2 linked regions of the Struthio camelus genome follow. The protein of the gene in region 1 interacts with the protein of each later gene in a pairwise test. Links are inferred from orthologs where the notes say so. Each region holds a gene or a part of one and is shown in the gene's direction. Other genes may lie near its edges.

Region 1 (10,411 bases):
CTGCCCAGCTCTGCCCTGGCCCCAGCCCCGCATGGGGCAAGGGCGGGGGGGGGGGGCATGGACCTGCCCTGGGGGCGCGGACCCCTCCTGGGGGCGCAGGGACCCGCTCCGGAGGGGGCACGGACCTGTCCCAGGGAGGTCGCAGATATGTCCCGGGGCACGCACACCCGATACTGGGGGGCCCGGCCTTGTCCTGGGGGGAACAGACCCCATCCTGGGGGGGGCACACACACTGGTCCCAGGGAGGGGGGGGACGCACAGTCCCAATCCACAGGGACCACAGACCTGTCCTGGGGGCGCACGGACCGGATACCCCGGGGGCTTGGAGCTGTCCAGGTGGGAGCACGGACCCCGTCCCGGGGGGATGGCAGCCCTGTCCTGGGGGGTCACGGTCCCCATCCTGGGGGGATGGCAGCCCTGCCTAGAGGGGACACAGACTGCACCCCGGGGGGATGGCAGCCCTGTCCTGGGGGGTCACGGTCCCCATCCTGCGGGGATGGCAGCCCTGACCCGGGGGGGGTCACAGTCCCCATCCCGGGGGGGTGGCAGCCCTGTCCCGTTGTGGGGGGGGGGCACAGACTGCACCCCAGGGGGATGGCAGCCCTGTCCTGGGGGGTCACGGTCCCCATCCTGCGGGGATGGCAGCCCTGACCCGGGGGGGGTCACAGTCCCCATCCCGGGGGGGTGGCAGCCCTGTCCCGTTGTGGGGGGGGGGCACAGACTGCACCCCAGGGGGATGGCAGCCCTGTCCTGGGGGGTCACGGTCCCCATCCTGCGGGGATGGCAGCCCTGACCCGGGGGGGGTCACAGTCCCCATCCCGGGGGGGTGGCAGCCCTGTCCCGTTGTGGGGGGGGGGCACAGACTGCACCCCAGGGGGATGGCAGCCCTGTCCTGGGGGGTCACGGTCCCCATCCTGCGGGGATGGCAGCCCTGACCCGGGGGGGGTCACAGTCCCCATCCCGGGGGGGTGGCAGCCCTGTCCCGTTGTGGGGGGGGGGCACAGACTGCACCCCAGGGGGATGGCAGCCCTGTTCCGGGGAGTCACGGTCCCCATCCCGGGGAGGTGGCAGCCCTGTCCCGGGGGAGGCCGGTCCCCACCCGGCGCAGGAGCTGTCCCGCCGCTCGGCCGTGCCCCGGCGACATCCGCATTGAGCCGCAGGGAGCGGCCCCCCCGCTGCCGCCGGCCGCAGCCCGCGGCCCCTGCGCGCACCGACGGGCCGGGCCGGGACCGGGACCGGGACCGGGACCGGGACAGGGGCGGCAGCGGAGGGGCCCGGAGCCGCGCACCGCAGCGTGGGGGGGGGGGGACGCCGGGCCTGCAGCCTCCCCCCCGCCTCCTCCCCAGCCCCCATCCCCGGGCCGCTGCCCCCTCCCTCCCGATGTCCCCCGGTGCCACCTACCCAGGACGCCGGCCGGGGCGGCCGGCTCCGCTCGCTCCTCGGCGGCCGGGGCCCGCCGGGGCCGCTCGGCGTCCTGCGCTGCCGCCGGCGGGTCGGGCATGGTGCGGGGCTGCGGGGGCTGCGGGGGCTGCGGGGGCTGCGGGGGCTGCGGGCCGCGGCGGGCGCCGGCGCATGGGGCCGCGGGGGCTGCGGGCGCGGGGCCGCCGCCGCCGCCGCCGGCCGGGAGGAGGGGACAAAGCGGCGGAGCGCCGCGCTCCCGGCCCCTTTAATTGTCTGGTTGGTCGCCGGCTCCCCAGCGCCCGGCGGCACCGGCCGCGGGGCCCAGGTGTCCGGGACGCGCACCCCCCCCCCTCCTAACAGCTGGCCATGGGGGGCCCAGGCGTTCGGCTCCTCCCTCCCCCGCAGCCCGGGGACAGGACCCGCAGCATCCCGGGTGGCAGCGCCCCGCCCCGCAGCCTTTGTCGTCGTCCCCCCCCCCCCGAGGTGTCCCCACGTCCCCTGCCCCCCTCCGAGGTGTCCCCGCATCCCCTGCCCGGCCGGTCCTCCCACTGCCCCACATCCCTCTGCCCCCCCCGAGGTGTCCCCATGTCCCCTGCCCCCCTCCGAGGTGTCCCCACATCCCCTGCCCCCCCCGAGGTGTCCCCACGTCCCCTGCCCCCCCCCGAGGTGTCCCCGCATCCCCTGCCCGGCCGGTCCTCCCACTGCCCCACATCCCTCTGCCCCCCCCGAGGTGTCCCCATGTCCCCTGCCCCCCTCCGAGGTGTCCCCACATCCCCTGCCCCCCCCGAGGTGTCCCCACGTCCCCTGCCCCCCTCCGAGGTGTCCCCGCATCCCCTGCCCGGCCGGTCCTCCCACTGCCCCACATCCCTCTGCCCCCCCCGAGGTGTCCCCATGTCCCCTGCCCCCCTCCGAGGTGTCCCCACATCCCCTGCCCCCCCCGAGGTGTCCCCACGTCCCCTGCCCCCCTCCGAGGTGTCCCCGCATCCCCTGCCCGGCCGGTCCTCCCACTGCCCCACCTCCCTCTGCCCCCCCCGAGGTGTCCCCATGTCCCCTGCCCCCCTCCGAGGTGTCCCCACATCCCCTGCCCCCCCCGAGGTGTCCCCACGTCCCCTGCCCCCCTCCGAGGTGTCCCCGCATCCCCTGCCCGGCCGGTCCTCCCACTGCCCCACATCCCTCTGCCCCCCCCGAGGTGTCCCCATGTCCCCTGCCCCCCTCCGAGGTGTCCCCACATCCCCTGCCCCCCCCGAGGTGTCCCCACGTCCCCTGCCCCCCTCCGAGGTGTCCCCGCATCCCCTGCCCGGCCGGTCCTCCCACTGCCCCACATCCCTCTGCCCCCCCCGAGGTGTCCCCATGTCCCCTGCCCCCCTCCGAGGTGTCCCCACATCCCCTGCCCCCCCCGAGGTGTCCCCACGTCCCCTGCCCCCCTCCGAGGTGTCCCCGCATCCCCTGCCCGGCCGGTCCTCCCACTGCCCCACATCCCTCTGCCCCCCCCGAGGTGTCCCCATGTCCCCTGCCCCCCTCCGAGGTGTCCCCACATCCCCTGCCCCCCCCGAGGTGTCCCCATGTCCCCTGCCCCCCTCCGAGGTGTCCCCGCATCCCCTGCCCGGCCGGTCCTCCCACTGCCCCACCTCCCTCTGCCCCCCCCGAGGTGTCCCCACGTCCCCTGCCCCCTCGGAGGTGTCCCCGCATCCCACACCCGGCTGGTCCTCCCACTGCCCCACATCCCCCCGCCCCTCCCAGGTGTCCCCGCATCCTCTGCCCAGCTGGTCCCCCCACTGCCCCACATCCCTGTGCCCCCCTCCGAGGTGTCCCCACATCCCCTGCCCGGCCGGTCCCCCCACCACCCTGACGCGCCAGCCCCCCGCCCGGCCCAGCCCCACGGGTCACGGTGTTATTTCGAGCGCCCCGGCCGGGCGGGAAGGCACGCAGGTAACCTGACCTGGGCTACACAGTGTCCCGCTGACCTTTCGGGAGCCCTCCTCTGCCCCCCACCCCGTGGCCTGGTCCCCGGTGCCCCGTGGGGACACGGCAGGGGACCCGGCGCAGCCCCTCGCGGGGTCTGCGGGACGCCGGATCCCGGCCGCGGGCGTCCCGCGAGCCCCACGGCGGCGCAGGCGGCGGGGCGTGCGGGAGCCCCCGCGCCGCGTCCTGCTCAGTCCCCCCAGGCCGGCTGCCTGCCCGCAGCTATTTTAGGGCAAGGCGCCGGGTGCCAGCTCTGACGGCCGTGACGAACGATGCCACAAGGAACCGGCCTCTCCTCCGGCATCCGCGCTTGGAGCCCGCGGCGCGTTTGCCACCGGCCGCCGGAGCCTGGCACGTCCGGGGCCCTCTTGGCGCCGGGGCTGCGCCTGCTGCAGCAGCCCGGGCCGGGGGCCAGGCCCCCGCGTCGGGGCCCCGGAGCCCCAATCCCCCCCGCCCCATGGCCAGCGCTGCGGGGGCTGCGCTCGGGCTGCCCCGGACCTTCCCGAGACTCCGCGTGGGCCGGACCCACGCGCCCAGCTGGGAAAAATTTGGGGACACCTTGGGGGGGGGGTCTGGACTGGCTTGGTTACTTGGCATCTGTCCCAGGGGCATGTGCAGGGGGTGTGCATGCAGGGGGGGGGGGTGCAGGTGAGGGGGTACCCTGGGGTGCACAAAGGGCTGTGCACACACACACAGGGCTGTGCGTGCGGGTGTGCGCGCCAGGCTGTGTGCAGGCGGGGGGGGGTGTGCAGGCGGTGGTGCACGCGAGGGTGCACAAAGGGCTGTGCACACACACACACAGGGCTGTGCGTGTGGGTGTGCGCGCCAGGCTGTGTGCAGGCGGGGGGGGGGGTGTGCAGGCGGTGGTGCACGCGAGGGTGCACAAAGGGCTGTGCACACACACACACAGGGCTGTGCGTGCGGGTGTGCGCGCCAGGCTGTGTGCAGGCGGGGGGGCATGGAGGGCTCCGCTGCGGCACCTCCCTTTGTTTTGCCTTCCCCATTTCTGGCCATCTGCGTGCGGGGGGCTCCCTGGGCGGGGGCCAGAGGGTGGCTGGGGGGGTTGCTCCACGGCAAGGGCCTGAGCCGGAGCCGGAGCCGGAGCCGGAGCCGGAGCGGACGGTGTTCCCAGCATCCCTGCACGCGCCGCCGCTCGCTCCTCCCGCTGCCAGTGCCTTTGTCTGCCCGGGCGTCCCCCCCGCCGCAGCGTCCCCGCGTCCTCGCCAGGCCCCGCAGGCCGCGCGCGGCCCCCCCGGCACCGCCCGTCTGCACAAAGCTGCTGGGAGCTGGGGAGGGGTCCCATGTCCCCGGGAGCATCCCAGTGTCCCCAGCAGCGTCCCAGTGTCCCCAGCAGCGTCCCAGTGCCCAGCGCCTGCTCAGGGAAAATTTCTATGGTTCACGGAGCGGCGCGGCGCCGGGAGGCTGCGATTCCCGCTCGGCCGCGCTGGCTGCCGGCCTCAGCCGACGCTCTGGGCTTCCCGGGGACGGAGCATCTGCGGCTCGGCGGGGTCCGGGGCCAGACGGTCCCCAGCGCCGGGACCCCCGGCACGGCCGAGGTAGACCGGGGCAGGGGGCATCCAAAAATCCCAAGAGCTTCGGCTGGGGCACAGGACACAAGCAGCCGCTGCAGGATTAGTGCGGGTCAGCGGGTGCAAAGGGGCTGGAGGCCGGGGAGGGGAGGCAGGGGGGGTTCCCACGGTGGCCGCGGGTGCTGTCCCCCCTGCCCCGGCCACCTGCCCCCTGCCCAGACCCAGATTCGGGGACACATGGGGCTGGGGGTTATTTTTAGGGTGCAGAAAAGGCCCTGCCAGGCTCCCACAGCCCAGCTGGGCCTCGGCTGCCCGCTGGGGGCCGCGGGTGTCCTGTTCCCGGGGAGGTGACAGCGAGGCCACATGTCCCAGCCCCTGCCACCAAAATAGCTCCGGCACCCGGGGAACCGCTGCTGAGAGCCGCCGGGGGGAGAAGGGGTGGGGTGGGGGGGCAAATGCAGCCGGCAAAGCCGTGCGGAGCCTTGCAGAGGGCGGCGGGGCCGGGCAGGGCGCAGGGGACAGCGCGGGGACCGGCCGCCCCCGCCCCGCCGGCGACACGGGGACGCGCCGGGCAGCGCCGCTCCCGCCGCCGGGCGGAAGCGATTCGCTCCTGCGCAGCCTCAGGCGGCGCGGCGTCGGCCGTGCTGGCTGACCAATCAGAGAGGGGGGTTTGGGGCTAAAGCCCGCCTCCCTCTGCCGCCTTGGCCAATCGGGGGGAGGGGGGGGCTGCCCGCCCTGAGGCCGCCGCTGGGGGAAGGCGTGCGCCGGAGGTTCATGGCGCTGCGGTGGGCGCTGAGCGCGGCGGGCGGCAGGTGGGGGACACCGGGGGGTGCATGGGGAGGGGAAATAGCGGGGGGCGGGCTTGCAAGGAGGGTGATGCGCCTGGGGCACCCTGGGGTGGGGGTATGCGGGGCGGTGCATGGGGAGAGGGTGCAACTGGGGCACTGTGGGGTGGCGGTGCACCTTGGGGGGGCTTGCAAGGCGAGGGGATGCACGTGGGGCACCCTGGGGTGGGTGCATCCTGGAGGGGGGCTTGCAAGGCGAGGGGATGCACGTGGGGCACCCCGGGGTGGGTGCATCCTGGAGGGGGGCTTGCAAGGGGAGGGGATGCACGTGGGGCACCCCGGGGTGGATGCATCCTGGAGGGGGGCTGCAAGGCGAGGGGATGCACGTGGGGCACCCTGGGGTGGGTGCATCCTGGAGGGGGGCTGCAAGGGGAGGGGATGCACGTGGGGCACCCCGAGGTGGGTGCATCCTGGAGGGGGGCTTGCAAGGGGAGGGGATGCACGTGGGGCACCCCGAGGTGGGTGCATCCTGGAGGGGGGCTTGCAAGGGGAGGGGATGCACGTGGGGCACCCCGGGGTGGATGCATCCTGGAGGGGGGCTTGCAAGGGGAGGGGATGCACCTGGGGTGAGGGCTACCCTGGAGTTGGGGGTGCATGGGGAGGGGATGCCCTGAGGTGGCGTATGTACCCTGAAGGGGGGGTTGCAAGAGGAGGAGATGCACCTGGGGTTGGGGGGTGCTTTGGAGTGGGGGTGCAAGGGGAGGGGATGCACCCCGAGGTGGGGATGCAACGGGAAGGGGGTGCACAGGGAGGAGGGCTGCATCCTGGAATGGGGGTGTGTGGGGAGCAGGGGGTGCAGCCTGGCATGGGGTTGTGCACAGGGAAGGGGGGCAGCTGGGGAAGGGGGTGCTCCCCTGCACCCTCCCTGCCCCCCAGGTCTCGCGGGGGTGTGCTGGGTGCACGCCTGGGTCTGGGGCTGCATAGGAAGGGGTGCACACCCCTGGGTATGTGGGGTGCACTGGGAGAGGGTGCATGGGGGGGGTGCATCCCTGCACCCCCTGACCCCCCTGTTTGGGCCGTGTGTGGGGAGGGAAGCCCCCCCCCCGGCCCCGCACTCTGGCTCCCTGTCCCTTTGCAGGAGCGCGCGGCGCCTCTGCTCCGCGGCGCGGGGCGACACCGTCTTCGCCGTGTCCTCGGGCCACGGCAAGTGCGGCGTGGCGGTGATCCGGGCCAGCGGGCCGGGCTGCCGGGCGGCCCTGCAGAGCCTCACCGGGCGCCCCGCGCTGCCGCCGCCCCGCGTCCTGGCCCTGCGGCGCATCCGCGACCCCGCCACCGCCGAGCCCTTGGACCGCGGCCTCGTCGTCTGGTTCCCAGGTGAGAGCCGGGGCTGGGCGCCAGCCCGCGGCGGGTCTCGGCGCCCGGCACGGCGGCTGGCTCCTTTGCACCGCCGCCGCAGGTTGCACGGCCGCGGCGGGTCTCACCGCTCGGTGTCCCGAGCGCCTCCGTGCTTTGCAGGGCCCCAGAGCTTCACGGGGGAGGACTGCTGCGAGCTGCACGTGCACGGCGGGCCGGCCGTGGTGAGCGGCGTGCTGCAGGCGCTGGGTAAGGCTCCGCGCGCCCGCGGGGATGACGCACCGGGCTCTGGGCTGGATGGAGCCGCAGCGGCGGCTCACGCGGCCCCGGCGCGGCTCGCAGGGCGCCTGCCCGGCCTGCGGCCCGCCGAGCCGGGCGAGTTTGCCCGGAGAGCCTTCCACAACGGCAAGCTGGACCTGACGGCGGTGGAGGGGCTGGGGGACCTCATCCAGGCGGAGACGGAGGCCCAGCGGCGGCAGGCGCTGCGGCAGATGGAGGGCGAGCTGGGGCAGCTCTACCAGCGCTGGAGCGAGACCCTCACCCAGGCAAGAGCCGCGGGGAGGCGGGTTGGGGCCGGCCGGACGCCTGGGCTCCTCCGCCGGCCCGAGCGCGGCGGGAGCGTCCCCCTCCTGCCCCGCTCAGCCCTCCTCGTGCCCCCCAGGCGCTGGCCCACCTCGAAGCCTACATCGACTTCAGCGAGGATGACAACGTGGAGGAAGAGGTGCTGTCGCGAGGTGAGGGCCGGGAGGGGGCTGGGGGCCGGGGCCGGCCCGCCCCGGCCGCCCCCAACCCCGACGCTGCCGCTCTCGCCCCCGCAGTGGCCGCGGCCGTGCGGGCGCTGGAGGAGGAGGTGGGCGCCCACCTGCGGGACGGGCGGCGCGGGGAGCTGCTGCGCGGCGGCGTCCGCGTGGTCATCGCCGGCCCCCCCAACGCGGGCAAGAGCAGCCTCCTCAACCTGCTGGGTGAGCTGGCGGGGGGGGGGGGACGCGGAGCCGACGGAGCCTCCCGGCCCCGCCGGCCTCCCCTGAGCCGCGCCGCCCTCCCCGCGCAGCCCGGCGGCCGGCAGCCATCGTGTCGCCCGCGGCGGGGACCACGCGGGACGTGGTGGAGCTGCCGCTGAACGTCGGCGGATACCCCGTGGTGCTGAGCGACACGGCCGGGCTGCGCGACGCCGCCGACCCCGTCGAGCGGGAGGGCGTGAGCCGGGCGCGCGAGAGGTGCGGGGACGGGGCGGGAGGCGGGGGCTGGCGCCGCGGCCCCCCCCCCTCCCCCCGAGGGCCGCATCCTTCCCGCGGGCTCTTCGCAGGTTGCGGCACGCCGACCTGGTGCTGGCGGTGCTGGACGCCGGCGCGGTGCCGGCGGAGCCGACGCAGCTCGGCGAAGCCCTGGGGGCCGTGCTGCCCCCCGGCGCCGCCAAGCCCTGCGTGCTGGTGCTGAACAAGGTGGACGTGGCGCCGGGCGGCGCGGGGGCCCTGGGGGCCGCCTGCGCCCGCGGGGGGCTGCCCCCCGCCGCCCTGCTCTCCTGCAAGACGGGCGAGGGTCTCGCCGGGCTGCTGGAGCTGCTGCGGCGGCAGCTGGAGCGGCTGTGAGTGCCGGGGCGGCGCGGCGGGGGGCTCGGGGCGGCGGGGGGCTCGGCGCGGGCGCTGCTGCAGGCTCCTCTCGCCGCCCAGGTGCGGGGACCCGCTGGCCGGCTCGCCCAGCCTCACGCAGAGCCGCCACGGCCACCACCTGCGCGCCTGCCGGGCCGCCCTGGCCCGCTACGGCCGGGCGGGCGGCACCGACCTGGCGCTGGCCGCCGAGGAGCTGCGGCTGGCGCGGCGGCACCTGGGCAGGATCACGGGGCACGTGGGCGCCGAGGACGTCCTGGACATCATCTTCAGGGACTTCTGCGTGGGCAAGTGACGGGGGGGCGGCCGCGTGCACGCCCGGCGCGGGCTCCCGGGGCTCTTTGCGCCGCGCTTTTATTAAAACGGCGGTGCTTTCGGCTGCTCCCGCGTCCTTCCCCGTCCTCCCCGGGGCCGGCCGGCACGCGGCGCGTTCCCCGGCCGCGGGGGGACGTTTCCTGAGCCCCGGCCTTGGAAAAAACCACCCGCTCCTGGGAGCGGCCGCGTTTCCTGGCCGGGAGCATAAACACGGAGCTGCAGTGTCTGGAAGGGGGGAAAAAACCCAGCCGGGGGGCTGCGGCGGTTGGGTGCTGCAGCGGGGGGTCCCGGCCCCGCACCCCCAGCCCGTCGCGGCGGCCGCCCGGCTGCTGCCCCGGTGCCGCTCGGCGGCCGCGGCCGGGCTCCGAAGGCCGGGGGCTCCCCGGGGACCCGTCCCGGCTCCGCTGCCGCCGCCCGGGGCTCCCAGGCTCCAGCAGCGGAAGCTCCCCTTGCTCCGCGATTATTTATAGTGGAGTGCCAGGAAATCCTCTTAACGCCGAGCGCGTCCCTGCCGTGCCCGAGCCGGGGCAGCCCGAGCCCCTCCGCCGCCCCCGGTGCCGTCCCCCCCCCCGGGCCGGGGCCGCGGCGTGGGGTGCCGCCGGCGGTGGCTGCGGCGGGCGGCCCGTGGCGGGCCGGGGTGTGCAGCCCGGCGCGCGGGGCGTCAGGAAAGGCTGTTTAAACAGGAAGGAGAGGGAAGCGCGGCAATAAATCAACGGGTGGCAGCCGGCCATTAATCACTGCGCTCGCCGCGTCCTGCACGCGCTGCTTCGTCCCCGTCCCTGCGTGCCAAGGGCCGTCCCCCCCCCCCCCCCGCTTCCCCCCCGGCTGTATTCGGGGCTGAGCCGGTGGGGATCGCTCCGGATGCTCGGCTGCTCCGGATGCTCGGCTTCCCCGGGACCGGGGGGCTCCGGGGGGCTCGGAGGCAGGTCCCCGCCGTGGCTGAGGTTCCCTGCTCCGTGCCGAGGTGGGGGGGCCGCGGCGGAGGGCCGGGGATGCTCGGCGGCCAGGGGTTTCCCGCGCGCCGTCCCACGCGCTTCCGGCGCGGGAAAGCCGGGGCCAGGGTGCGGCGGCTCGGCCGCGGGGGGCTCGGTGCTGGCGGCCGGGGGGGTCCCGGCCAGCCCCTTCTGGGAAGGGCCCCCCTCCCTCCCGGCTGGGTCGGGTTGCGGCTCAGCCTATCTCTTCCTGCAGGGTCGTCCGGCGTTTCCTGCGCGGGGGCTGCCCGCCGCGGCTGGGACGGGACGTTCCTCGCGCCCGCCGCGCCGCAGGAAGACGCGGGACGCGCCGTGCCGGGGCCCGGGGCCGTGTATTTGCGCACCGATACGCGCACCCGCGCGGGAAGGCTTGAGCGCCGCCTTGCCGGTGCCGCAGCCGGCGGGGAGGCGAGACGCGGGGGAAAAGGGGCTGACGAAGGCGAAGGGAGAGATTTGCCCTGGCCGCTGGTGGCCGGGGAGCGGGTCCG
Region 2 (10,608 bases), on another chromosome or scaffold:
TTGAGGCTATCTCATTCTCTGATTGCCTGTGATGACTGGATTGGGTCTCACTGCCATGCTATGCTGCAGTTAGTAATACATGGTTGCGGCAGCCTAGTAAAGGTAAGAGTCTAAAATGAGTCCAGGTATCCAAGCATCCTGGTTCCCCTGGGCTCTGCTGTGAAATCTTTCCCTGTCCTTCTTTATAGGATCACAAAAAAACAAAAAACAAAAAACAAAAAAACCCAAAACAAAACAAAACCAACTTCCAGCTCTCTGCCCTTCTGATGCTGCTACAAGTACATCTATTTGCATTTAAGTTATCTCAATGTCAGCTGCAGACTAGAGGACTTCCTGGACCCACTTCCCTCCAAAAAGAAGAGAGGCTGAGGCACAGGACCTCAGTCTACACATGAAAGGAGACAGAAAGGCATCCAACAATTTTAAGCAACCAAGTTATGGCAAAGTATTGGGCATAAGTGAGTGTGAGAAGGCTGGCAGGGGGAAAAAAAGGACATCTGGGAATATAGGAGAAAAGTAAAGGGAGAAAAAGAAGTCTCCTGGCTGTAAGCTGTGCTCTCCATGGATTAAGGGGCAAAATATATACTGCTGGGGACCATGGCTTTCAGTCAGTCTCACCAAAAAAAGCATCAAAGGAATGAGATGTTCCCATCTACACCAGCCCAACAAAATTTCATTATCATTTATATTATGTCTCAATTGAATGAATTCAAAATTTTAATGTTTACTGAAAATTAATTTATCATGAAATAGCAGATACCAAAGAATCATATACTTCCCTCTCAGAGAACGTATTATAGCAGTTTTCTGCCTTATCTTATCCTAGCTGATACACTTAAGGGCAGAGCTGCTATCCAGAGGGACAAAGACAAGTTGGAGGAATGGGCTGACAGGGACCTTATGAACTTGAACAAGAATAAAAACAATGATGTCCTGCACCTGGGAAGGAATAACCCCTGGCAACAGAACAGGCTGGGGACTCACAAGCTGGTGAGCAGCTCTCCTGAAAAAGACCTGGGGTCTCGGTAGACAGAAAGATGAATATGAGCCAGCAGTGTTCCGTGGCAGCAAAGAAGGTTGACAGCATCCTGTGCTGTATTAACAAGACCATAGCCAGTAGATCAAGGGAAAGGATTATTAGCATTTGTGAGATCCTGTCTAGAATACTGCATCCAGTTGTGGGCCTATCAGTACAAGAAGGACATTAATCAACTGAAACAAGTTCATCAGAGAGCCACCAAGATGGCCTGGAGCACTTGCCCTGTGAGGAGAAGCTAAGAGAACAGGGCTTCTTCAGCCTAGAGAAGAGAAGGTTCTGGGGTGCCTAATAGCAACCTTCCAATACCTAGGTAGGTGATCAAGAAGACAGGGTCAAGCTCTTCACAGAGGGAGATGGGAGGACAGGAGAGAATAGTCTTCAGTTGAAATGAGAGATTCCAAATGGATATAGAGAAAAGCTTGTTCACCATGAGGGCAGTTAAGCATTGGAACAGGTTGCCCTGAGAGGTTGTGCAGTCTCCGTCCTTGTAGGTTTTCAAGAACCAACTGAATAAAGCCCTGAATAACTTGATCTGACCTCATAGTTGACCCTACTTTGAGAAGGAGGTTGGACTAGATGACCTCTGGAGGTCCATTCCAACCTGAATTCTCCTACAATCCTATAATCCCCCAACTGACCCAATTAAAAGGGCATTATATTTGGGCACTGATTGTAATTTCTCTCTACTTCAGGTAGATCTTCCAGGTGATCTTTATTTAGCAGCTTGGAGAAGCTGTACCTGTTATTTCCCTGTCCAGGTAAAGACATATGAAGAAATGCTGAGGGAGCTCTTCTCACAGGGTCGCAGTAAAAGGACAAGAGGCAATGTACACAAGTTGCAATACAGGAAATTCAGATTGGACATAAGGAAAAAATTCTTGCCCCTAAGAGTGGGAACATATACCTGGAGACACTGTAAAATTTCCACCTTTGGAGATTTTTATAATTTGGCTGGAAAAAGGAACTAAGCAACCTGATCTAGCTTTGAAGTTAGGCCTGCTTTGATCAGGAGATTGGATTAGAGACTTTCACAAATTCTTTCAAACCTAAGTCCTTCTTGATTCTATGATTTATGTGCCAGGCAGTACCAGGGAATCTCTCCTTCACTTCCATTCGACCATTGTCACCCAATGTCACCGCAGTCTTCCAAAAGGGAAAGAAGGAGGAGTCAGGAAACTACAGGCCTGTCAGCCTCACCTCCATCCCTGGAAAGGTGATGGAACAGCTCCTCCTGGAGGTCATCACTAAGCATCTGGAGGACAAGAAGGTGATCAGGAGTAGTCAGCACGGCTTCACCAAAGGGAAATCATGCTTGACCAATCTGCTAGCCTTCTCAGATGGAATGACCGGCTGGGTAGATGAGGGCAGAGCAGTGGATGTTGTCTCCCTGGACTTGAGCAAGGCTTCGGACACTGTCTCCCACCACATCCTCCTAGGTAAGCTCAGGAAGTGTGGGCTAGATGAGTGGACGGTGCGGTGGATCGAGAACTGGCTGGATGGCAGAGCTCCGAGGGTTGTGGTCAGTGGTGCGGAGTCTAGTTGGAGGCGTGTAGCTAGTGGTGTCCCGCAGGGGTCAGTCCTGGGTCCAGGACTGTCCATTGATGTAGTCATCAATGACCTGGAGGAAGGGACAGAGTGCACCCTCAGCAAGTTGGCTGATGCTGATGCCTAAACTGGGGGGAGTGGCTGACACACGAGAAGGCTGTGCTGCCATTGAGAGGGAGCTGGACAGGCTGGAGAGCTGGGCGGAGAGGAACCTCCTGAAGTTCAACAAAGGCAAGTGCAGGGTCCTGCACCTAGGGAGGAAGAATCCCAGGCACCAGTACAGGCTGGGGATTGACCTGCTGGAAAGCAGCTCTGCAGAGAAGGACCTGGGGACGCTGGTGGAGAACAAGCTGACCGTGAGAGAGTCCAGTGGAGGGCTACCAAGATGATTAGAGGGCTGGAGCACCTCTCCTAGGAAGAAAGACTGCAAGAGCTGGGCCTGTTCAGCCTGGAGAAGAGAAGATTGAGAGGCGATCTCATCAAGGTGTTTAAGTATCTGAAGGGGGAGTGTCAAGAGAATGAGGCCAGTCTCTTCTCCGTGGTGCCCAGCAACAGGACAAGAGGCAATGGGCATAAACTGAACCACAGGAAGTTCCATCTGAACCTGAGAAAAAACTTCTTGACTGTGAGGGTGAGTGAGCACAGGAACAGGTTGCCCAGAGAGGTAGTGGAGTCTCCTTCGCTGGAGATATTCAAAACCCGTCTGGATGTGATCCTGGGCAATATGCTCTAGGTGACCCTGCTTGAGCAGGGAGGTTGGACGAGATGATCTCCAGAGGTCCCTTCCAACCTAAACGATTCTGTGATTCTGTGAGCCAACAATGCGCTCTTGTGGCCAAGAAGGCCAGTGGTATCCTGGGGTGCATTAGGCAGAGTGTTGCCAGCAGGTGGAGGGAGGTGATCCTGCCCCTCTCCTCAGCCCTGGGGAGGCCTCACCTGGAGTGCTGTGTCCAGTTCTGGGCTCCCCAGGACAAGAGAGACATGGCACTCCTGGAGAGAGTCCAGCGGAGGGCTACAAAGATGATGAGGGAACTGGAGCATCTCTCATATGAGGAAAGGCTGAGGGAGCTGGGCCTGTTCAGCCTGGAGAAGAGAAGACTGAGAGGGGATCTCATCAATGTGTACAAGTATGCGAAGGGGGGGTGTCAACAGGATGGGGCCAGACTCTTCTCCGTGGTGCCCAGCGACAGGACAAGAGGCAACGGGCAGAAACTGAACCACAGGAAGTTCCATGTGAACATGAGGAAAAACTTCTTGACTGTGAGGGTGACAGAGCATTGGGACAGGTTGCCCAGAGAGGTAGTGGAGTCTCCTTCGCTGGAGATACTCAAAACCCATCTGGATGTGATCCTGGGCAACATGCTGTAGAGGCCCCTGCTTGAGCAGGGAAGTTGGACTAGATGATCTCCAGAGGTCCCTTCCAACCTAAACCATTCTGTGATTCTGTGGTTCCCTGAAAAACTGTATTTGTAACTCAAGCCATGTGGCCAAACCTCTCCAGTTTCTGCCTTTTTGCTGCTTTTAGTGCAGGCTCATAGGAGCCAATTACTGCAATTATGTCTTCACCAGGACTACTGTTAGTTTCACATAGTATGTAAGATATCCACATAATTCTTTGGAAAGAACTGCTTTCAAAGATTTTTAAATTGTTGTTGCTATGAAGAGTCTGGCATTGGCATGAAGCTTGATAAGAATACAGTCATTCTAAAAAGCTTTATTTTGAATGTAACTAAGATGTTCTCATCTTGTAAGAGGCTTATGCTCCATTATTAATTATCCTACAATGAAAGGGAAGAAACAGACACAAAAAATTCCCAGCTCTGTTCCACAGTTCAAGGCATAACAGAAGAAACCTCTTTAAAACTTTGGGCTGCTAGACAGTTCCATGTTGGGCTACAGTAACTATCTTCATATTTACTTAGGCAAATTCCACAAACAACCTCAACACTTCCAGTTGTCACCCTGTTGGAAGGTTCCCACATGCACTTCAAAAATACACAACAGGCAGCAGTAATAATAGGAGCAAATGACTCACAGAAGCTCAGGTTAGACACAAGGCTGGTTATAAACCATCATTTTTCCAAGTGAAAAAAGGGCATTCAGCAGGCTTGCTGCAACAGCTAAGGTGGTAACACCACCCTTATCCTTTGTACAGATTCATAAATTAGGACCGCACAGATAGGATTGGTCCCCATGGTCATTATGCGTTTTTCAACCATACCAATATCCTGTTCAGGAAAAGATATCCCTGCTTCTGGTAAACTCCTCTGTTTCTGAGGACATGGGCATCACATGTATGCCAGTGAACTGCCCTCAGTGATTCACCAGAGGTTACTTAACACCAGAAAAAATAGCCTCTTCAACTACATATTGAAAGACAAGGTCAGCAAAGCCAGAATCTGGATACGCATCCTGTTTGACACTCCCTCAGAATATGAGAAATTCATCATTTTCAATCCACCTCCGTTATTTCTGGAATGCTGCCCAATGAACCACCTTCAGAGCAGGATGTACTTTAATGGCTTCACATGACTGCATGATGACTGCCTGTTCTGTGAAGTTTCCAGCTTAGAATTTATTGCCCACTGACCAATGGCAGTGTGAATTAGTAAGCTTCTTGGAGCTGGTTAACTGCCTGTTTTTCTGCTCTGCAGCTCTCATTCTAGACTCTCTGCATGGAAAGGCTGGGAGGAGGTACGTTCACAACTATGGCCCTCCTCAGTAAGAAGTGCTACAGCTGCTTTTGTTTCTAGATCTCAATTACAATGTAAAAATGCCACTAGGTGTTCTGTTTTTCAAGCTCTGAAAGTGCAGTTGATGAATGCCTGCAACAGGCTGCAGTTTTTACTTCCTCTCTGCATTAGGTAATCACTTAAGAGTTGTCACTTCCACCGCCCTACAAGGAGCTAGCGCAGTACAGGTTCTTTAAATGCTATGTGTGCAGAATTAAGCATATATACAGGCTCATGTGGCCCCATATGGGCTGTGAAAGCTCTTTGGGAGACTAGGCCCATTGCTTTCCATGATGACAGCCAATAATTAAAGGAAATAAAAAACAAAGCTGCAGAGTTGAGAGAAGTGAGGCACACTGAACTCAAGCATCTCACAGCCAAAACTGCTACCCATGCGACAACACATTGACAAGACTGCCAGAGGCCGCAGGGCTGACGAGCGAGCGTCACGGCAACACCACCACCTGCGAGGCCATGAGATGCCCACAGCGCCAGGCATGCAGGCAAGCAGCACACGGCTCCATACTGCGTAGTCTCCTTCCGCCCCGCCCACAGCGCGGGCGGGCGGGCGGGTACCCAACACAACCACAACCACAACCACAACCGCCCCCGCCCCCGCCCCCGCCCCAAGCCTGGTTCCTCCACTGCCTCCCAAGCCCCCGCCTCCCTCGCCTAAATTTGCATACCAGGCCTCGCCCCCCTGTGTGACGAACAGATTTAGCCCTACCTATAACAGTCGTTGTTCCTCCCTTTTCTTTTGCCACCGATAACGGAAGCGCTCCGGAGCCTGAGCAGTGACGTGCCCGGAGCGGCCGGGCTCGGCCTGCTTTCCCCCCCCCCCCCCCTTCCCCTCCCCCCCCCCCTTCCCGCCACTCCTTCCCCACCCTCCGGTCAACATGTGGGGAGCGAGCCCGGGGTGGGCGGCCGATGCGGTGAGTGCGCGCGGGGAGGGGGACGGGGGAAACGGCCACTCCTTTTGTCTCGTTCTCCCTCCTCCCGCCTCCGCCTCAGTAGGCGCGCTCCAGGCCGCAGGCCGCCCTCGGCTCGTCCCGCTGTGCCCCACCCCCTGCAAGCGAGCGAGCGCGCGCTCAGAGACCGTGTTGCCAGGTTGGGGATGGGGGGCACAGGCCGCCACAGCTCTCTTTGGGGGAGGGCTAGGAGCCATATAGGGGAGGGACTATTGTTACGTTTAGCTGTCTCTCCCCCCCCCCCCCCATCCTTGAGCTCTTTACGGACTCAGCTGGGAGGGGGGTAGGAAAAGGAGCGACAGCAGCAGCGAGCGGGCAGTCCTCTGCAGCAGTGACAATACAGCTGCAGAGGGCATCGTCCCTGTATGAGCTGGCTCCTCAGGTCGTGGTCTGCACCTGTGCTAATGCTGTTCGTTCTTCTCTGCCACCCCTTCCCAGCACTGTGCTCTCAGCTCGGGAGCTCGGGAGCTCGGGAAAGTCTCCTTTTTCAGATACTTTGCTACCTAAGGAAGGGCTGGAGTCTCTATTAGGGCTACTAGTGGACTCAGCTGGGAACTATGCAGAGTTGCTGATTGCTGGCAAAAGAATCTCCAGCACTACAGAACAGTCCAACAAATGGATGTAGACAGCACAAGAAAACTGAATAGCTCATCTGGAGGCACTATAAAGCATATTTATCATTCAAACTTAAGACTCCTTGAGAAATGAGCAGCTGTGTTAGTATTACAGCCATTCAATGACAGTACTTTCATGACACAACAAGCATTCATTCTCATTAGGAGAAATTTTCTGCTGTCAGAGTAATAGTTGTTACTTTTATTCGGTTCCTGATAGCTCCTGGACCAGTAGTAGAAGTTCTAGTAATGGGAGTTGAAAGCTCCTCTGTTAGCAGCATTATTGCTAATGAAATTTTCTTTGCTGTATCTTTGATGTTGATGTTCTGGTCATCTAGAAAAACCTGCTAAGAGTTCCTGCTTGCTGTATATGCATTCAGAGATTTTGGACAAAAACCTACCTATTCTTTATAAATAGAGTGGTCTTGATTTTAAATTCATCAGTAAATTGAGCCTATTTTTTTTTTTTTTAAAGCATGTGGGATTTGGATCACCTTTCAGAGCAGCTCTCCTGTTTTCTTTTTAGTGATTATGGCTTGGGTCCTTCTACCATACTTAGAAGTATCCATGAATCTATGCAGGACTCTGTGACTGGGATAATGTGTGGACTGGAAGTAACATTTTTGGAAATTACGGGAATAACTGTGTCATTGATAAGTGATTTTTTTTTCCCCCCGGGGGCTGTGTTGCTCCCAGAGGAGTACAAGTATATTGATAGGTGCAGATGAACATAACTCCTCTGTTTGTAACTGTTCCAAAGCCATTAGTAATTTGAGTGATCAGATTCAAGGCCCTGAACTAATGTTGGCATGGAGCTGAGGTCTGGTTATTCCAGTGGAAAAATAAGAAACTAAACCGTACCTCAGAAAAGTCAGAATTACTTTCCTCTTAGCTTTAAACAAGTGTAGACTTGTGTAACAAGTGTAGACAAGTGTAACTCAGCCTGTAGGTGAAAACATGGTCTTTAGTATTGTTCTGCTTGAAATTGAGGCAGCTATCCTTGTAGGTTTAAATAATGAAAGTAAGCTGCCAAAACCTTTCAGTGTTGTATGGAGCTCCCATTTCATCAGGTCTTCCTGTTGGAAGGAATGGATGTGCTTCCATTTGTGCTGAAGTAGGTGTACCCTGAGGTTCTGCAATTTAGAGATGTTGTGGAGCTCTATCACTAATTTCCCTGTTTTTTAAGCATATAGTTTCGTAGTAGCTTTTGATGATTAGAAATCATGTCTTATTTGAGACATAGTTTCTAGCTATTACCATGAAGAGGTTTCTGTGATTTTTGAAAACACCATTGAAGGTTTACTTGGGAAAAATATGGGGGAAGCTAGTGTTAGAAGAGGCCTTCTGCTCTCAGTTCCTGCCCCAATAGCACTGACCAGTTGGCTCCTACTTCTTCATCTCCGGAGTGCCTTCTGAAGGTCTCTGCTACAGTTTTCTGGGTTGAAGTGTCCAGGAAGCAACTGAAACATCCAGGTTGTTAGCAGGAGAATGTTTTGACTTACTTGTGCTGGAGTGTGGTGGTCCATGTTCTGGAAGCAAAAGTTAAGTTGAGGAAAAAGTTGAGAAGAGTGCCAGTCTTGGTTAATCAGATAGACTGGATGAATTGCTAACTCTTTATGGGAGTAGGGCAAGCCTGTTTCTCTGGAACTTTTTCCCCCATTAGAATTTTTACTGCTGTTTATTAACTGGTTTTGACAAGTTAGGAGATATATGCAAGTGGAGTCAAATTCTTTCAGAATTTTCAGGATTTTATTGTTAAGTTGAAATCTAGTGGGGGCTGTTGTGAAGTTTTCCTGATATAGCCATTGGTTACCTTTTCTATGAACTTGTCCCATCACTTTTTAAACTTGCATAAACTTTCAGGAACCACAGCATACCATGGAAAGCAATTCCATAGTTCAGTGATCTATTTTATGAAGACATTTCCTTTCATTTATTTTAAACTTAACACAAGTTTTGTTAGGTGTCCCCTTCTTTGGAAGAAAATGTAATCAGTAATTCGCTATTCAACTTTGCCATGATTTTGTAGCCTTCTGTTTTATCCTTTCATCACTTCTTTCTTCCATCCTGAAGAATCCTAGCTTTGGTAGTCATCCCTTGTGTGTAAGCCATTCTGCTTGTTTTTTTGGCAGCCTTCTCTCTGCCTTTCATAATTTTACTGTATCCTTTTCAAGGCGTTTTCAAGCATTTTTTTTTTCATTTGAGGGGAAACAAACTATCATGCAGTGTTGAGGAATAATGCACTGTGGACTTGCACGGTGACATAATGATGATGCTTGTTTTAGTCTCTGATTTTTTTTCTAGCAACTCCTAGTATTCCATCTAATTTGTTGACTGCTGGTGAGTATGTAGTAGATGTTTTCATCCAACTATCAGACATCACCCCAGTATCTCATTCCTGAGTTATGTATAACTCAGAGCCTATTGTATTTATGACTGGATTTGCTTGTATGTCTGTCAGTATGAATTTGGCACCTCTTTTTCATCTGACAAAGCCTATAGCTCTTGATCTGGCGACATGTTTATAAACATTCGAGAGAGCGTTAGCTTTGAAAATGTTTAACCAGGTTTACAGGTAATACTTGTTAAACTGGATAAGTAGGAAATTGAGAAACTTTCTTTAAGAAAGAGAAAACAAATATGCCCCTCTGCCTTTCTTTTTTCTAAGTATTACAATTCATGTTATTCTGCTTTTATATTCTTTACTGAATTTCTCAAATAATGCACTTTTGCAAATAGTATCACAGAAGACTTTTTTGCATGTGTATGAACATTGCAGGAAATGCTTCAGAGAGCATCAGAAGAATTCTTTCCGAAGACGGAAAGTGCAGTTGAAGAGATGGATACCTCAGACACCCAGTGGGGCTGGTTTTATTTGGCTGAGTGTGGTAAATGGCATATGTTTCAGGTAACTACATATGAAATTATGTTAGCTATGATGATTTCCAAACATCCAACTACTTCTGAATTTGCCTAATTGTGCTTTTTGGTTTGTTTTAAAGACTGATTCAAACAGTCATTGCTCAGTTAGCAGTGAAGATATTGAAAGGAGCTTCAGAACAAACCCTCATGGATCTGTTTCTTTTACTACTGCAAAATTTAACTACACGTTAGACTTTTCAGGTATGTCTCTTGTCATAGAATAAATTAAATAATAGATGGTGTCAGATACACTAGTTGATGTGTTCATTCAGCAAGTTATTTTCCTCATATCTGGTGCAAAAAGTCCAGAATTGGAAAAGTCTTTATTGGAAGGTATGCATGAGATTTTGGAGGCAGCTGCACTGTTAAATTTTCTAGTGTAGTTTACTAATAAGGTAGCATGCCTTGTGTGGTAGTGCTCCAGCATTTTACCTCTGCTTACCTTAGCTGTAGGTAGTATCTAGCATACATCCGTGGGTCTAGGAAGTTTGTTCTTTAACATACAACAGCTTGTAGGCTTGAAAAATGTTCTCTTCCATTCAGAGTCTCTATAAGAAACGTTGATATGATGGAAGCTTTCTGCAAAACACTGGCATTAAAGTGATTTTGTAATTCAGCAGAGACTTCAAGCCAATTATGTTGCTGAAATACAAGGAGATACCCAAAAGGCTTTTCTAGTAAAACTATAAAGAGCTTGCTCATGCCATACTTGTAAATTACAAAATATTATTGGATTCTAATGGCATCCATCAACTATCTTTATCTTATACAGAAGCCTCTTCTAGGTC

The links.
Region 2: the proteins of GTPBP3 (region 1) and PARP11 interact in binary tests that used the Homo sapiens proteins (3 or more experiments, as listed by UniProt). The two-hybrid records come from large-scale screens. The link is inferred for Struthio camelus from reciprocal best matches to the Homo sapiens genes GTPBP3 and PARP11.

The regions. Positions count from the first base shown.
Region 1 is NC_090967.1:6,514,570-6,524,980, reverse strand, and holds GTPBP3 (tRNA modification GTPase GTPBP3, mitochondrial), read left to right. Parts: upstream 1-5,640; 5' UTR 5,641-5,666; coding exon 5,667-5,704; intron 5,705-6,815; coding exon 6,816-7,051; intron 7,052-7,192; coding exon 7,193-7,279; intron 7,280-7,372; coding exon 7,373-7,575; intron 7,576-7,691; coding exon 7,692-7,764; intron 7,765-7,848; coding exon 7,849-7,992; intron 7,993-8,081; coding exon 8,082-8,247; intron 8,248-8,336; coding exon 8,337-8,615; intron 8,616-8,700; coding exon 8,701-8,932; 3' UTR 8,933-9,061; downstream 9,062-10,411. Other genes in the region: ANO8 (anoctamin-8), read right to left, coding at 1,402-1,501. UniProt on the Homo sapiens protein: GTPase component of the GTPBP3-MTO1 complex that catalyzes the 5-taurinomethyluridine (taum(5)U) modification at the 34th wobble position (U34) of mitochondrial tRNAs (mt-tRNAs), which plays a role in mt-tRNA decoding and mitochondrial translation.
Region 2 is NC_090942.1:88,017,361-88,027,968, reverse strand, and holds the start of PARP11 (protein mono-ADP-ribosyltransferase PARP11), read left to right. Parts: upstream 1-6,018; 5' UTR 6,019-6,212; coding exon 6,213-6,248; intron 6,249-9,202; exon of another isoform or gene 9,203-9,238; intron 9,239-9,677; coding exon 9,678-9,806; intron 9,807-9,900; coding exon 9,901-10,021; intron 10,022-10,608. UniProt on the Homo sapiens protein: Mono-ADP-ribosyltransferase that mediates mono-ADP-ribosylation of target proteins. Plays a role in nuclear envelope stability and nuclear remodeling during spermiogenesis. Inhibits the type I interferon activated signaling pathway.